Linked DNA regions of Pelodiscus sinensis. The protein of the gene in region 1 interacts with the protein of each later gene in a biochemical or structural test. Links are inferred from orthologs where the notes say so. Each region holds a gene or a part of one and is shown on either strand. Other genes may lie near its edges.

What was found.
Region 2: the proteins of DNM1L (region 1) and FIS1 form a complex in vitro, tested with the Homo sapiens proteins (2 studies listed by BioGRID). The link is inferred for Pelodiscus sinensis from reciprocal best matches to the Homo sapiens genes DNM1L and FIS1.

The regions. Positions count from the first base shown.
Region 1 is NC_134711.1:105,496,783-105,504,735, reverse strand, and holds the start of DNM1L (dynamin-1-like protein), read left to right. Parts: upstream 1-4,942; 5' UTR 4,943-5,079; coding exon 5,080-5,181; intron 5,182-7,953. UniProt on the Homo sapiens protein: Functions in mitochondrial and peroxisomal division.
Region 2 is NC_134734.1:11,581,142-11,588,616, reverse strand, and holds the start of FIS1 (mitochondrial fission 1 protein), read left to right. Parts: upstream 1-4,466; 5' UTR 4,467-4,467; coding exon 4,468-4,623; intron 4,624-7,475. Other genes in the region: snaclec alboaggregin-A subunit alpha-like, read left to right, coding at 51-121. UniProt on the Homo sapiens protein: Involved in the fragmentation of the mitochondrial network and its perinuclear clustering. Plays a minor role in the recruitment and association of the fission mediator dynamin-related protein 1 (DNM1L) to the mitochondrial surface and mitochondrial fission.

The DNA.
Region 1 (7,953 bases):
AAGGCTGTTTACTTTAGAAAGGAGATGAGTAAGTGGTCACGAGATAGAAATATATGGAATAATAAATGATCTAGAGAAGATAATTTGGAAATTTATGTTCTTCCTGTCTCCGAGCAAGAAAGCAAAGGAACATTCAATGAAATTAAAAGGTAGCAAATTCAAAGCTGATAAAAGGAAATACTTCTTCACACAATGTGCAATTTGACTGTCGAATGCACTGTTACAGGAAATCATTAAAGACCAGAACTTGGCAAGATTAAAACAAAGATTGGACATTTATATGGAAAACAAGAACATCCAGTTTATAATTAAGTATTAAGTAATTAAATGTTGGAAAGAATGTTAAACCTTCTGCTTCAGAGCTTAAGCCAAACTGCAATTATTAGATATCAGTATGAGACCAAATGTAGTGGATAAATGATCTAATATCTGTTTGTTTAGTTGTTTTGGGGAAGGTGAGTTATTGGGGTTTGGCTTTTGTTTTTGTTCTTCACTTGAAGCATCTGGTGGTACCACTGTTGAAGACAAGATACTGAACTAGATAACCCTGGGTCTGATCCAATATGGCAATTGCCATTATATTAATTTCAATTAGCTAATAATAAACAAGTAAAAAACAACAAATAGTCTAGTAGCACCTTACAGACTAACACAACATGTAGATGGTATCATGAGCTTTCGTGGGCGCAATCTGTTCATACCTAATTTTAATTGTGATGGGTTGTATTACAGCTTGACCTCCAATGTGCTGATCAAGCCACTGGTGCCTGCCTTCTGGGGATCCTCACAACCCTGTCCCTCTGGGCCAGAAGCTCTGATTCCCCCCAGCCAAGGCATAGAGTTGGGGGTTACAATCACCCTTCAAAACACCACAGATGCTGAACCTGCTCAGCTCTGTGAGGACTCAGCTATAACGCTGCTGGTAGCACCCAGGAAACCAACCCCACAAAGGAACCAAAAGCTAAAATAATTTAATCTTACTCTGTGTAAAACTTACACAGAGAAAGCTCATAAGGTCAGCCTTTTTTATCAGTGACAATTGTTTACACAGTATGAGGTGACATGATTACATGTCTTTCTAGGATCAGCCTCGTGTTTGGGCTTACAAGAAATAATTATGGGTCACGGTTTGAATACTGAGCCATTAAGTACCTGAAATATCACTAATGGACCTCATTAGCACATTTACAGTTAAAACCAGATTCACACTTCGGACTTCCAGCTTCGCATACAAGAATGATACACGCACAAAAATACGATATACAGACTCAGCAGACTGCAATTTTGAAAATATGCTACATGATCTCTTTTGCATAACACATGTTCATGTTATGCATATTCATATTTATAAACCAGTTTTCATAAAGCATGGGGGCATGTGACCATGACATCTATATTTTAGACAGCTAGAGCAAATTGAGATTTTCTTGTGGACTCTGCTGTAACTGGACTGAGGTAAGTGCTGTGTCTCATGAGTCACCAAGAGTTTCAATGTCTCAAAACAAAATTCTTTTCCCACTCCCAGTTCTTTGACACAAAAATAAAATATAGTGACACAAACATTTGTGACCTTGTTTGCCTTTTCCTTTCTCTTTTTGATGAATTGACTAATCCCTCCTGTACATGTTCCATCTACATTCATTTTTCCTCCCCTTCCTAATTTTCCTCTCCGGTTAGATGTCTCCAGTGTCTTTTTAGTTCCCAAAAGATCTTCTCTTCCCTTCTGCCTCCACTCTGGCAGGGCAGGAGGAGACTTCATGCGCTCCACCTGCTGAGAACAATCAAGGCTTAGGGGTGGAAGGAGAGTGTGAAGTTTCCTCCTGCCCTGAAAGGGGCTCAGCACTTAAATCAACTGCTGCTCAGCTGGTGATTGGCTCTAAGCAGGGTGCTCCCTTGCAGGGCTGGGGCAGGGAACGAGAGACTTCATATGCTCCCCCTTCCCAGGCCCTGATTGAGCTGGGGGCATCAGGAGGAGCATGTGAAGACTCCTCCCACGGCCAGGAGCAGAGGTACCTAGGGGGAACCACCAGCTGTTATCAGCTGGCAGTTCTATAGGGAGGCAATCAGGGTAAGTGGGTGGGGAAGGATGGAAGTGCCGGGGCCCCACTCTGTCTGTCTGAGGCCCTGCCCCTTCCAGGGCAGCTCTGGGCCACTTCAAAAATTTCAGAAATTTTTGAAGTGGCTCCTGGTCAAAAGTTATTGCCCACTCCTGCAACAGTCTGTATCTGCCTTGTCAGTGATCTTCACAAGCCACTAAGTGTCAGAAATGCAACTAATAGAAGAAAAGAGACAGACACAATGGCAGACAGACAGACACAATGGATGCGTCCAGACTGGCAAAATCTTGCCGCCTGTCTACACTGGCCGCGAGTATTTGCACAAGAATACTGACTTTGTACTGTTCAAAATTAGTGGTTCTTGCGCAAATACTCCAACGCTCCCACTCAGGGATAAGCCCTCTTGCGCAAGAGGGCCAGTGTAGACAGCCAAGTTGATTTCTTGCGCAAGAAAGCTCAATGGCTAAAATGGCCATCGGAGTTTTCTTGCACAAGAGAGCGTCTACACTGGCATGGATGCTTTTGCACAAAAGCAAATCTTTTGCGCAAAGGCACAATCCAGTATAAACGCTCTCTTGCGCAAATACTTTTAACAGAAAAACTTTTCCGTTAAAAGTATTTGCGCAAAATCATGCCAATCTAGACGCAACCACAGGGTGTCTTAACTACATCCCTCTTTCAAAAGAGGGATGTAGATTAGGCAGATTGAAAGTGCAAATGAAGTGGGAATTTAAATATCCTGTGCTTCATTTGCATAATTACATCACAGCATTCTTTTGAAAAAGGGTATTTCAAAAGTGAAACTGCTATGTATACCTGAATCTTTCAGGGTGGGGGTGGAAACCTTTTTCAAAAGATCCTGTACTCCTCCAAAAATGAGTATAGGAAAGGGTGTATTTTTTTTTTGAAAGAACCATGTTTATGCATGCCCATAGAGAATATGTTTCAGATGGCAGCAGCCTCCATTCTTTTGTAGCAAAGGTGTCTTCTATTCAGGGTGCTGATTGGAATGCAAAACTTTCTATCTTCTTGCTTAACGGGAAGGTGGGTTCCATGTGGTTTCTCTTTACTGGGAATGTCAGCCACTCAGCCAGTAAAGAAAAAACAGGAGAGTGGCCAAGAATTGTGTGAAGCATTGAGCTGAGGTTGCTGTAAGAATGAATCTGTGTGGTGTGCCAGAGCCAGACCTGTATTCACAGGTTCAGTATTTCAGTGTTCTTTCCTGGCAGGAATATTTGAGTTTGTGCTCCAAAAGTTAATGGATGCCACTATAGGACAATCACAGCAGATTACTGTATCATTACTGGAAATAATATATTCAACTTGGACTTTTTTGGACTTTTCCTTACGGAGTAGAGTCATTCAAGTACAATTTTCTGCACTTAAGTTGCATTGGCTTTAACTTTCTCTTCCATGAATGTTGGTTTAAAATTAGTTCATTTTTGCCTTAAACTTTTATTGTGAAATAATAATTCCAGTAGTTATAATGTTGCTATAATAGATGCCTCACTTGTAAAAACATAAAAAGATAGTAAATCCAAATGCAGTTGGAAAATACATCCTACTGACTGGGAATAAGAATGATGCAGAGAAGATGACAAGCAGTTGCCCTCATGAGTCCTGGTACAATGGATCTGAGCTGGAACACTTCCTCAGCTTTACTTCTGGTTTGGTGAAATTTTAGACCAGTATCTGAATGTGACAGTTACAAAAATTAATGTTTATTCTGTTATGGTACTTTCATATCCCTCTCACTACCCTCTTTTTCCTCCTTGGATGACTTGCAAGGTCAATGTCCTTTTACCAGTGCAACAACTTGCTCTCAGACAAGTTGCTTCAGTGGTAATGCTTATGTAATCATTTTTCGTTACTTGTATTAATAGAGCGCTATACACGGCTGAAGTCTATGTGCAACAGGTGCAGTTGCATCTGTGGAAACAATGGAAATTATAGCATAGATATGCACTTGTTTTTACAACCAGATTTTCTCCTAGAAGTTCATTTCAGAGACATTGTGTACATATTTCTCTATTGTACTGTCTGTGCTGATTGGGGTTCATTAGTCTCTGAGTTGTGTGGTAGCCTAATGTGCCACTTTCTTTCAGTGACTACTGAAAATAACTCCTACAACCAGAAGAAAACTTGCAGTTGTGCACAGTTGTAGTCTTGCAGCAGTTTGAGGAAAACTTTTTTGGGGTAGGGGGTATCTTCAGTAGTGTATTTTTTTCTTTCCCATTACTGAACATCTGTACCCTGGAAAGGGACAAGGGCATTTTGTAAGTATGGTGACGGGCTTTGCCATAGAGAGAAGAAACGTGCTGCAGAAACTGCAGGGTAGAGTTGCATAGTGGGGTTGGATTAATTCCTGGTCGTTTTGTAATCTTATAGGAATAATTTTTAAACAAAGTAATCTTTAATTTCTGGGTAGACCAGGCCCCTGGGGCCCAGGGGTAACCCATGGCACCAGAGACCTACTGCACGGCTGGAGCAGGATCAGAGGTTGGGTTAGTCGTGGGATTTCCAGCGACTTCGTTCCAGTGCCCCTGTCCTATTAATACCAATTGTTACAGTACAGGCGCTGAGTAGCACTTTCTGCCTATACACCTGCTTTTGCGGCTCTTCGTGCTGCAACCTGGAGCGGGCCCATCCGCAGCAGCTCCAGCAGCTCGGTAGCACAGAAGCTGTTTGCTGATTGGCGGTCTATGGCGGGAGGCGGCGGGGGTAACATTTCTTTCCCGCTCCCGCAGAGGGGGTGCTCGCCTCTGCTCCGCCCGGCGCTGCCGCTGGGAACCACGCGGGGGCGCCGCTGCCAGGCGCGGGGCACTACAACTCCCGACGGGCTTTGCGGCGGCCGCGACCCGCGGAGGGCGGGCGGCGCGCGCGCGCACACAGCCTGCTGAGGCCGAGCTGGGCGCGGGGCCGGCGCCCGTGGTGGAGAGCGGCCGAGGGAGGGGGGAGCAGGAGGCGATAGAGCCGTTGGCCGCGGGCTCCATTCATCGCCGCCGCCGCGCGCCCCGCCGCCATGGAGGCGCTGATCCCGGTGATCAACAAGCTGCAGGACGTGTTCAACGCCGTGGGCGCCGACATCATCCAGCTGCCGCAGATCGTGGTGGTGGGGACGCAGGTGAGCGGGCCCGGCCCCTGCGCGGGGAAGGGCAGCAGAGAGTGAATGGGGGGGGCTGGCCTCGCGTGGGCCCCGCCAGCCTGCGGGGGCGCCCGGCCCCGCCCCCAGGGGAGCGCCCGGCCCCGGCAGGGCTGTTCCCCTTTCGGCGGGGGGCGGGAAGTGGCCGGCGCCCGCTGAAGGTGACTGCGCTGCTGCCCCCCGCCTGCCGCGTCGGGCCCGCCGCTAGGCCCCCGCTCGAGCCTGGGCTTGACCTTCCTGCTGCTGCGGCCGCGCGCGCCGTTGGGAAGGGGGGTGTAGGAGGAAGCTCGGCGCTGGCCAGGCGCCTCCCCCTAACGCAACATCTGTCCGTCCCCCCCCCCCCCCCGCGTCGCTCTGCTCTCCTCTCACGTGGGGACGTTGAAGATCCCCTGCAGGTATGTGACTCTGTGGTGGTACATGGCCCCTGGGTGCAAGGGTTTAAAAACCACAACCCGGGGTTGGCTCAAAGCCGTTGCAACAAATGACTGTTTGAGTGAAGCCCTGCTAATAGGTTTTGTTTTTTTTTTAAACGTACTATTATTTCAAGGCATGCTACCTGCTTACGGGTGGCGTATCATTTTCTTTAAGGCAAGTTATCAAACTAGAGACCGCTCCTAAGTTATCCTGATCAGACTGAGAAATAGTTCTTAGAAAAAGCTTCCTGTGTAGTGTAGGGGTGTAAAATCCCATGTAATTAGTTAAAGGAGGGGGGGGGGTCTGAAGCAAACCGCTATTCCATCTTCTTTGGCCAGGCTGGAGCACCCCTGCTGCATGCCTGAGCTGGGCCTGCTGTGGCTCTGCTGCTTCAGCCCCCAGCTCCAGCCCCTATCCCTTACCCTGTCACCAGTAAGCTTCACCCATTAAGGGCAAGGCTTACAGCTTAATCTTTGAGTAGTGATAGAAATGTAGCCGTGTTAGTCTGGGGTAGCTGAAGCAAAATGCAGGACAATGTAGCACTTTAAAGACTAACAAGATGGTTTATTAGATGATGAGCTTTCGTGGGCCAGACCCGCTTCCTCAGATCAAATAGTGGAAGAAAGTAGTCACAACCTTTCTTCCACTATTTGATCTGAGGAAGTGGGTCTGGCCCACGAAAGCTCATCATCTAATAAACCATCTTGTTAGTCTTTAAAGTGCTACATTGTCCTGCATTTTGCTTAATCTTTCACATCCCTAGCTGTGTTTGAAACCCAAGTGTTGAGTACAAGGACACTGAAAGTGAAAGGAGTTAACAGTAGTAGAACTGTTGTTTTTTTTTTCATTTTCTACACTTGGAAGAATGCAGAAAGTGAAGCACATATTTAGTTACCAACTAAATTCAATTTTTAAAAACCTTTCATTTTTATGTAGTAATTTAAGGCACTCTGTGGGTTAAAAAGGAAAGGTTTACCGTAGCTATGTAAGTTGACCATATCCCTGTAATGATAATAGCAACTGGAATAGAAATTAGGCAGTGCCTATATATTTTGGCTTTACTTTGTGGTATAGCTACGTGAACAGACTAGAAATGTTAAAGACTAGTTAATTATCCGATAAACTTATCAGATAGTCTTTTGACTAGTCGATTCCCCCCTGCTCCCCGCTGCCTCTATGAGAGAGAGGCAGTGGGGGGAAAGGTACTTAAAAGTGGCAGTGCTGCACAGTTGGGGACTCTCCAGCTGACCCTGGGTTCCGCTGCCACAGCGAGCCCGGGATCAGCTGGGAGTCCCTAGCTGACCCTGGGTTCTGCTGTTGCACAGAGCCCGGATCAACTGGGAGTCTCCAGCTGACCCTGGGCTCCACAGCAGCTACCCCTTTGAAATGCCAGAAGCGGCATTTTAAAGGGGTAGCTGCCATAGAGCCTGGGATCAGCTGGGGATTCCCAGTGGCATTTCTCCAGAACCCAAAATCTGCAGCGCTGATCCCGAAGGACTCGGAGTCTCTTGCTGATTCTGGGCTCCATGTATTTGATATGCACAAGAGCCCCTGGGGTCTCCTGTGCATTTCAAAGCAGGCACCTGTGTGCAGCCCAGAATCAGAGGGACTTCCCTCTGGCCCCAGGTTGTATGCAGAGTTCTGCATTCCTGCGGGGGCTCTTGTACACTTCAAAGGAGGAGTGTGGAAGTGCCTGTTGACTAGTCAATTAACCACATTTTAACATCCTTAGAACAGACTCTTGAATCCCTGCTGACTTCAGTGGAGCTTTCCATGGGTACAGCTGTGTTACATGGATCTAGCTACATGGACTCACCTGCAGGATTGGTACATCTCCATCACAAGCAGGATCTCATGACCGTGAGTCTGAGCCTGTGTGTTCAGACTGGAGCTTGAGCTGAAGCATTAAAAATAAACATATAGACATTCAGATTCAGGCAGGATCTCTGGCTTTCAAGCTTGTTCCTCTCTCTAGGCTTTAGGGCAGCGGTTCCCAACCTTTTCGAGATGGGGACCCATTTTGACAATTCAGGAAGACTTGGTGACCCAAGGTAGTTCAAAAACGGGGGGAGGAGGAGAGGCAGAGCCACCTGGGGAGATAGTGACCCTTTTAAAACGTAATGGCCAAGGGTTGATAAATTATGGAAAACCCTACTCGCCAGACAAAAAAGGGACTTGCCACGCTCCCCCACAAAGTGGTTTTTTTTAATGGCATAAATTCCTAATAAGAATAAGAACAGTAATTACTAATAAGTTATTAATAAATATCACCCAGGTTATTAATAAGTATCTTATAAACCTCTGCTTTTTCTCTCTGCTGCCATGTCTCCTCCCATTGCT
Region 2 (7,475 bases), on another chromosome or scaffold:
CAGGAATCCTGGCTCCCCGCCTATTCTCACTGATTCTCACTTCCCTACAGATGCTATCACTTGGGATAACTATGAAAATTCCTTGGAGTTCATGTCCGTCTGCAAACGCTCGCTGGACTGAAGGGCTTGAAGGCCATCTTGGAGGTACCAGCTGGGTTTGGCTATGCTGCCCCACTGGTTGATGTGTGGTGGCTGCACACTGCCCCCCTGGATTTGCTCAAAACTGGGGTGAATCTGCCCCCAACCACTGTTCCCACTGAGATTTTCCATCCATGACCGGAGTGAGTTTTGTTATGTGCACCAATACTGAGGTCATGTGCGCTTGTGCAGATGTGTTCCACCGTGGCGTCTGCCAGTGACTATAAATATCTTCTATAACATTTTAAATATTATATATATATATACTGCAAAATGTTCAGTAGCCATTTGGTATCTTACATGTATCCGTTCCTTTGAGGCATAAAACAAAATTGTCCATTTTCTTGATATAACAAAGAAAATAGTTTATGATTATAATTGATACATGAAACGAAATAGTTATCACTGTAATCTTGCATTTCAAGCATAAAGTGTATGTTATTTAATGGGCTCATTTCTGAGCACTATGTGCACATATTGCTCCCTGTTATTGTAGCCAGACAGAAACCCCGCCCCCCTCTCCCCTCCTCTCTCTGACATCCTTGAGAGAGAGAATCCTTGAGAGCGAAACTCTGTCTTCAAAGGCTCCAGGGCCTCCAGAGGTGCTGGAATAACAATGGCCCTGCTAGACAGGAACCAGATAACAGGGGGGATTGGGCCAGCAGGCGATCGGGGCCTTGAGCTGCCCTTGGCTGGTACCAGTATTGATACGCCTACACACACAGAAGAGGAATCTGCCACCCCATCAGAAAGACTGTCTGGCCCTAATGATTTAGTTACCTCCACCTCACAGGTGCAAATTAAGCTTCGGACCCCCTGTGGGAATGGGCGTCACAAAGACGTTCCAACTTAATTGGCATTTTAATGATAAGAGAAGCGTCTACATGACCACAGGGGTATAAAGTGGGGCCCTGTGCTCCACTCTAATTGGAGATCCATCCATATACCTGCTGGTCAGGTGGTTTTGGACCCCTGAGACTTTAGGGACGCCTTCGTCTCATATCGACTGCTTCCCGTTGGTATTGAGAGAAACGCTGGCTTTGCTGGAGTAAGGATTGCAGGGGTGTCTGCTAGGTGTCTGTTTGTGCGCATTCAATAAGAGCTCAGAGAACCAAAAGGGTTTCATGGTACCTTTAAGTGACTTTTCATTGTATTTTCTGTGTTGTCTTTTGTAGTGGCTGCGTTATCTGTAACACAGCAGTAACATTTAACAGCTAAGCTTGCCTTGTAACAATAAAATAGTAACTGTTTAAGCTTTAACTTGACTCCTCCTGTTGCTGTAACAGAACCAAACACAATAAAAAAGAACCATAGCTGGTCAGGGGTAAACGCAGTAAGAGCTGAGCGTTGAGTCGTGCCGCCTCCACAGGGCAGACTCTTGGGGTGCCTGTCAGCCTCCCTGGCTGCCCGCTGTGAAGGGACTTTTGTCCTAGCAGTTGAAGTCTCAGGTGTAACGAGCTCTCTCTGCACCACCTTGGAGCACCCGTCAGCCTCCCTGGCTGCCCGCTGCGAAGGGACTCTGTCCTAGCAGTTAAAGACTCGGATGTGATAGAGCTCACAGACCATTCATTACCTCGGCCACCATCTAACAGTTATCTAGGAAACAGGGTTTGTTTTAAATATTTCAGTGGTTTACAAATCACAAATCGTACATTCATCAAAGCTGGTGCACATCAGCTCCGTGGAAAGATTGAGGAATTAAATCCTTCTGCATATTTTCTCTCTATATATTAAAGAAAGTTCTTCCTACAGGGCAACAGAATGACGCCATCACGTCACTCTACATCACCCTGCCCCCCAACCCCAATAGAGTCCCCAGAAAGGGAAAATGCGGCCATGGCTCAGGGTTGTTCTCCGCACTCCCCCCTTGGACTTCCTGCTGGCCCCCGGCTTCCCTGAAGGAGAACCAGGGGGCAGCAGCAATGGCTCCTTGCTGTGCTGGCAGGACCCAGGGGAACTGCCACCTCCAGCTGCTTGGGCCAGGCACACTGGGGCCACCACATGCCTGGAGTTCCTACCTGGAACCCTCCCAAGATTAGCGCTTCAGTTGAGGGGAAGGAGCCCCCAGCCCTCCCCACAGCAGCGCGTGCGCTTCTCCACCAGATGCCTCCAGCGTGGCGGGTTGGGGTTTTCTCCCCCCCCCCCCCCCACTTGCAGGAAGCCGGTGCTAGCATTGCCAGATGGTTTTGACAAAAATATCGGACACACTTGATCTCAGATGCGGGGGGCGGACCCGGCCGCGGGGGGAGCGGGGCTGGTAGGAGAGATTGGGGGGGAACTGGCCGGTGGGGAGCAAAGCTGGTCAGGAGGGGGTCAGGGGGAGTGGGGCTGGCAGGAGAGATCGGGGGGAACTGGCCAGTGGGGAGCAGGGCTGGTTGGGAGGAGGTGAGGGGGAGCAGGGCTGGCGGGGGATATCGGGGGGGGAACCGGCTGGTGGGAAGCAGGGCTGGTCTGGAGGGGGTCGGGGGGAGTGGCTATGACTGGGGGAGATCGGGAGGGGGGGAATGGCCAGCGGGGAGTAGGGCTGGCCAGGACAGGGTTGGGGGGAGCAGGACTGGCCGGGGGGAAGAGCGGGGTGGAGTGGACTGGCCTGTGGGAAGAGGGGCTGGCTCGGGCACATGCAGATCCCGGGGCGCTGCCTGTCCGGTACTAGCGGGGCGCACAGGCATGTTCCATCTTGCCCCAGCCCCCCTTCCTCTCCCCGCCCTCCACTGCATATTTGCCTACTGCCTGGCTGGTAGACACACTCGCGCAGCGTGGGCACATCTACCAGCCAGGCAGTACGCAACTACGTACTGATACTCATGATAATAATAAAACGTATTTAATTAGAAAATACCGGACATTTATATGTTCAGTATTTCTCAAATTGTTTCCTGGACAGAAAGCTCAAATACCGAACTGTCTGGTTCAAAACCGGACACTGGCAATCCTAGCTGGTGCGTTAATCTTGCGGGGCAGGAGGAAGGGAGGGTTCCAGGCAGATGCTCCAGGCACATGGAGGCCCCAGTGTGCCTGGCCGGAGCAACCAGAGGCGGCAGTTACCTGCTGGGTACCAGAGCGTCAGGGGCCACCAGTGCAGTGAGAAGCTGCTGCTACCACTGCCCTCTGTCTCAGCCTGGGCCTTCCTCCCGTGGCCAGAGGGGGGCTGAGAGGGCCGAGGGGAGGAGGTGGCCGGGGTTGGCTGCAGCTGGAGAGGGAAGGAATAGGGGGGGCCAAGAGGCCAGGAACAAGGATGGGGGAGCCAAAGAGGAGGCCAGGGCTTGTTGCGACGGATGGGGGGGGGGGGAGACAAGAGGCTGGAAGGAGCTGCTGCGTGGCTCTGCTAATGAGGTGGGCATGTCTTAAATTCTTCCTGCATGCCGCACAAGCGCGCACCCTGTTGGGAACTATGCGCCCAGCTTGTGCCCTGGAAATCTGGGCCCCACTGTGCTGCATGCAAAGTCTGAAGTAAACATATCTCCACAGTGTTGGCAGGGGAGTCCTGGCTCTCTTTTCCATCTCATCACCTTGCCTGGGAGGGGAGTGGGATGTGGCAGTTTGGAGTAGGGTGGGAGCCAGGACTGTCTCCTGGGGTCTCTTCTCAGCTCTAGGAGAGGAGAGGGGGCAGGAGGGTTAGAGCTGGGAGCCAGGACTCCTGGGTTCTCTGTGCCCTTTGGGGAAAGGGATCTGACGAACAGAGCAGCAGATATGGATATCAGGACAGTAGGGGAAAAAATGGGCCTGAACTGGCGCCTGCCTTTTTTGTGTATGTGGTAGGGTGGAGGCAGTTCCTCTTGGTCTGATGTGTCTAATGTGGGAGGAGGGACTGGGTGTGGGGGGGGGAAGGAGGGGTGTTACCACCCTTGTTTCCAGGGAAGTATGAGGGGTGGGGGGTGTTTCACTTCTACACCCCACTTTCAAACAGTTTCTTGGAGATACCCTTTGAGTGTCTGCCTCCCCCAAGGGGGCTCATCGCCCAGGATGGGCAGCCAGGGAGCCTTACTGCCCCCTTAGACTGGCAGGTTTGCTGTTATGAGAATGAGATTCTGGACACGCCTCCACACGAGGGAGGGGTCCCTGCCGCAGCGTCTCGTTGCCATGGTGAAGAAGGGCCCGCCCATGAGGGCGTGACCAGTCCCAACGTCACTAAGCGGACTCGAACGCCGCCAATCCCGTACGCATGCGCAGCTCCCTGCTCGGCCTAGCCCCGCGCTACGCAGGCGTAATCGCCTCTCCCACCGCCATTGGAACAGGATTGGGCGGGAACTGAGGGGCCGCGACTGCTGTCGCTTTGGGACAAACAAGCCCTTCCCTCCCTGCCCCTCCCGTCTCGGGGCCAGGCGGCGCATGCGCAGCTGCCGGGAGGGGGGGGCGGGGCGTATGAGTGGGCGGGACCCTGTGTGGTGTGTTTCCCGTTCCGGGGCGCGCGGCGGGTCAGTGCCGGGGGGCGGGGGCGCCATGGAGTCGGTGTTGAGCGAAGTGGTGGCGGTGGAGGACCTGCTGGTGAGAGGCCCCGCCCCCTGGAGAGTCCCTATTCTCCCCCCCCCCCCGCGTTCCCCCAAACCTCAGCCCCGCCCCCCACTCCGTCGAGGGTCCCCTAGTCAACATCCCGCCCCTCCCCCAGGGTCTCCTGCCCAGTGTCCCCTTCCACCCCCCCTCCCATTGCGTCCTGGCCCACTCCCTCACTGACCTGGGCCTTCCAGGGCCGTGTCCCCCTCCCCCTCGGGAAATACTGCCCTGCACTCTTCACCCCTCCCCCCCAGAATCCTTGGGTTGGAAGAGATCTCAGGAGGTCATCAAGTCCAGCCCCCTTTCCCCCCCCCCGCCCAAAGCTCCCCACCTCTGGGGCCTGAGCTCCACCTTGTAGGCATCCCCCCCTCCCAAGATCCTCTGTCCTGAGACTTTAGCCTAGGCCCCAGATCTTCCCCAGGCTCAGCCCCCTTCGACCTGGCAACCACCCCTCATAGGGACCTGCTCTCTTTCAGGCCCCCATCCTATCAGGATCCCGTCACCTGGAACCTATCTGCCCCAGCGTGTAATCCCATCCTGAACCTTTAGTTTATTTCACTCTCCAAGACTATCCCATGGTCCTGCTCAAGGAGTCCCTCTGCTCTATGGCCACTCCCCTATGGCTCTCTCCCTTCTGGAGTTTCTGCTCCCTCCCCATCCCTCTCCCCAGGCCTTACTGGCAGTTGTATCTGCTTCCCATAACCCTTTAAATTGTTTGCCTCTGTTACAAGGGCAGCAGCACAGGGTGGCAGCAGCTTCTGTCTGGGGGAGGGGGTCTAAGTTCCTGGACCCGGCATGAGCCAGAACTGAGCTGGGCTGCTGGCCAGCCTTCTAAACAGTTTACCGGTGGGGGGTTGGAAGGGGAATGTGTATAGTCTATTGCATTAACCGATAAGCTTTTGCTAGTTGGTTAAACGACTATACTATGGAGCAAGTGCATGTAAGTTTGGGTTTTACCACTTTTCCCTCCTGCATATGCCTGATGTCCTTGGCCTTTAGGCTGTAGGGAGCGCTTCCTAAAAGCAAAATTCTGGGCTGTTCTACCTTTTTGCTCCTCCCCCCTCCCCATGAATACCTTGCTGCAAGTCAGATGCCTCTAACAGTGTGAGGGGCAGGGAGAAGGAAGGGATGGATGGGGCTCTTGCTCCCTTCTTGGGATATCTTAAGCTATGTAAACGACCTGCCCTAGTATTTGTGTGGGAAAGGACATGCGGTATATGTGGCTTCAGGGATGGTTATATTGGGGTGGGGATCAGGAAAGCAGAGCCCTGTGTAAAACTCTGGGGCTTTGCAGAGGCTTTTCCCTCGCTATCAGCATGAACAGCTTGGAAAGGGCCCCGAAGTGAGAGAGTAGCCTGTACAAAGTGAGACTCCACATCTGTATGTGTTAGCTATGTCTCAGATGGGTGTGGCTGGTGTGGGGTGAAATGGACTTAATCCCACCAACCCCCCCAAAAAATAAGCACTGGTGTTTTCAATTAGACTGATTATCTATTGTAACAAATTTGTGTATTCAGACCCTGCTTGGCTGCCTTTCTGGAAGAGCTGTTCAACCGAACATCAGAACAGCCACGCTGGACCAGACCAATAGTCCAGCTAGCCCAGTGTCCTGTGTTCAGACTGCGGCAGGTGCCAGGTGCTTCAGAGAGAATGAACAGGACAGGGAGATTTATTGAATGGTCCATCCCCTGTCATCTTGTCCCAACTTCCGGCCATCAGAGGTTTAGGGACATTTGCAGCATGGGGTTGCATCCTTTGGCTAATAGCCATCGATGGACCCTCCTCTAGGAACGTAGCTAGTTCTTTTTGTGATCCTTGTTATAAATTTGGCCTTACCACAAGCAAAAAAAATCACTCTGTTTCTCTCTCCCTTTCTAGGGACCACACCTGCAAAGTTGCTGCCCTGTTAGAAAACCCCTATAATCTTCATTTCCACTGGATTTTGTCTAGATGGCATAGGCCTTTTCCACCTATTTTAGAGGTCTCTTCTGCTAACAGTCACCATAATGTCTGGATATCGGCCAAGACCCTAGTGCACTTGATGGTGTGTCTGGTGCATTCTTCCTTTGTGAAGTCAAAGCTCTGGTTAGAGGAGGCTCTTTGGTTGTGGGTTTTTTAAGAAATTACCCCCTCCCCATACTATGTTTCAGAAATAGTTGGTAATTTGGGAAATGGCTTTGTTTTACTTGTCTGGGAGTTAGTTAATTGCGTAGAAAGAGGTGTCATTTTGGCTGCAGTTGATTTTCAAGCAATAGGTCTCTTTTCATAAAGGGCTCTTGGACTTTGGGTTTTGATCCATTGATAGCTTTGAGGATTACGGCAAAGGCCCTACACTGGCATTGAAAGCTGACTGCAACCCAGTGGAAAGACTTGCATGTAGATCCAGAGGGACCTTGGGTCATCTAATCCTATGTTTCTCAATGGCTGATCCGTGGACTGGCACCAGTCCATCATATTCCCCTGACACAGTTTAGGAAGGCAGTAGGCTAGTCACTGGTATCAAAAAGGTTGAGAAACACTGACAGTTTTTGCCCAGTTCTCCCTTGGATTGAGTCCAAGAACTTGTGTATGACTAAAACATCTTCTAGAAAGTCTGATTTGGAAGATGTCAAGGGATGGACTGCTTTCCCAAGGGGGTTCTGATTACTTAAAGTTGCCAGCTCTGAGTCTTGCACACGGCCTGCTTCTGAGTCAGTCAGTAATTAGCTCTTTTATAAATGGAATAGCTCTCTGTTCCCTTCATTATGAGATTGAGGAGGCTGGGAAAGGTTCTTTTCCTGACTTAAGCATCTGTGGTTTCACAAAGATGTTTATGGAGGCCAGAGTGAAGGGAAAGCAGTGCTGCA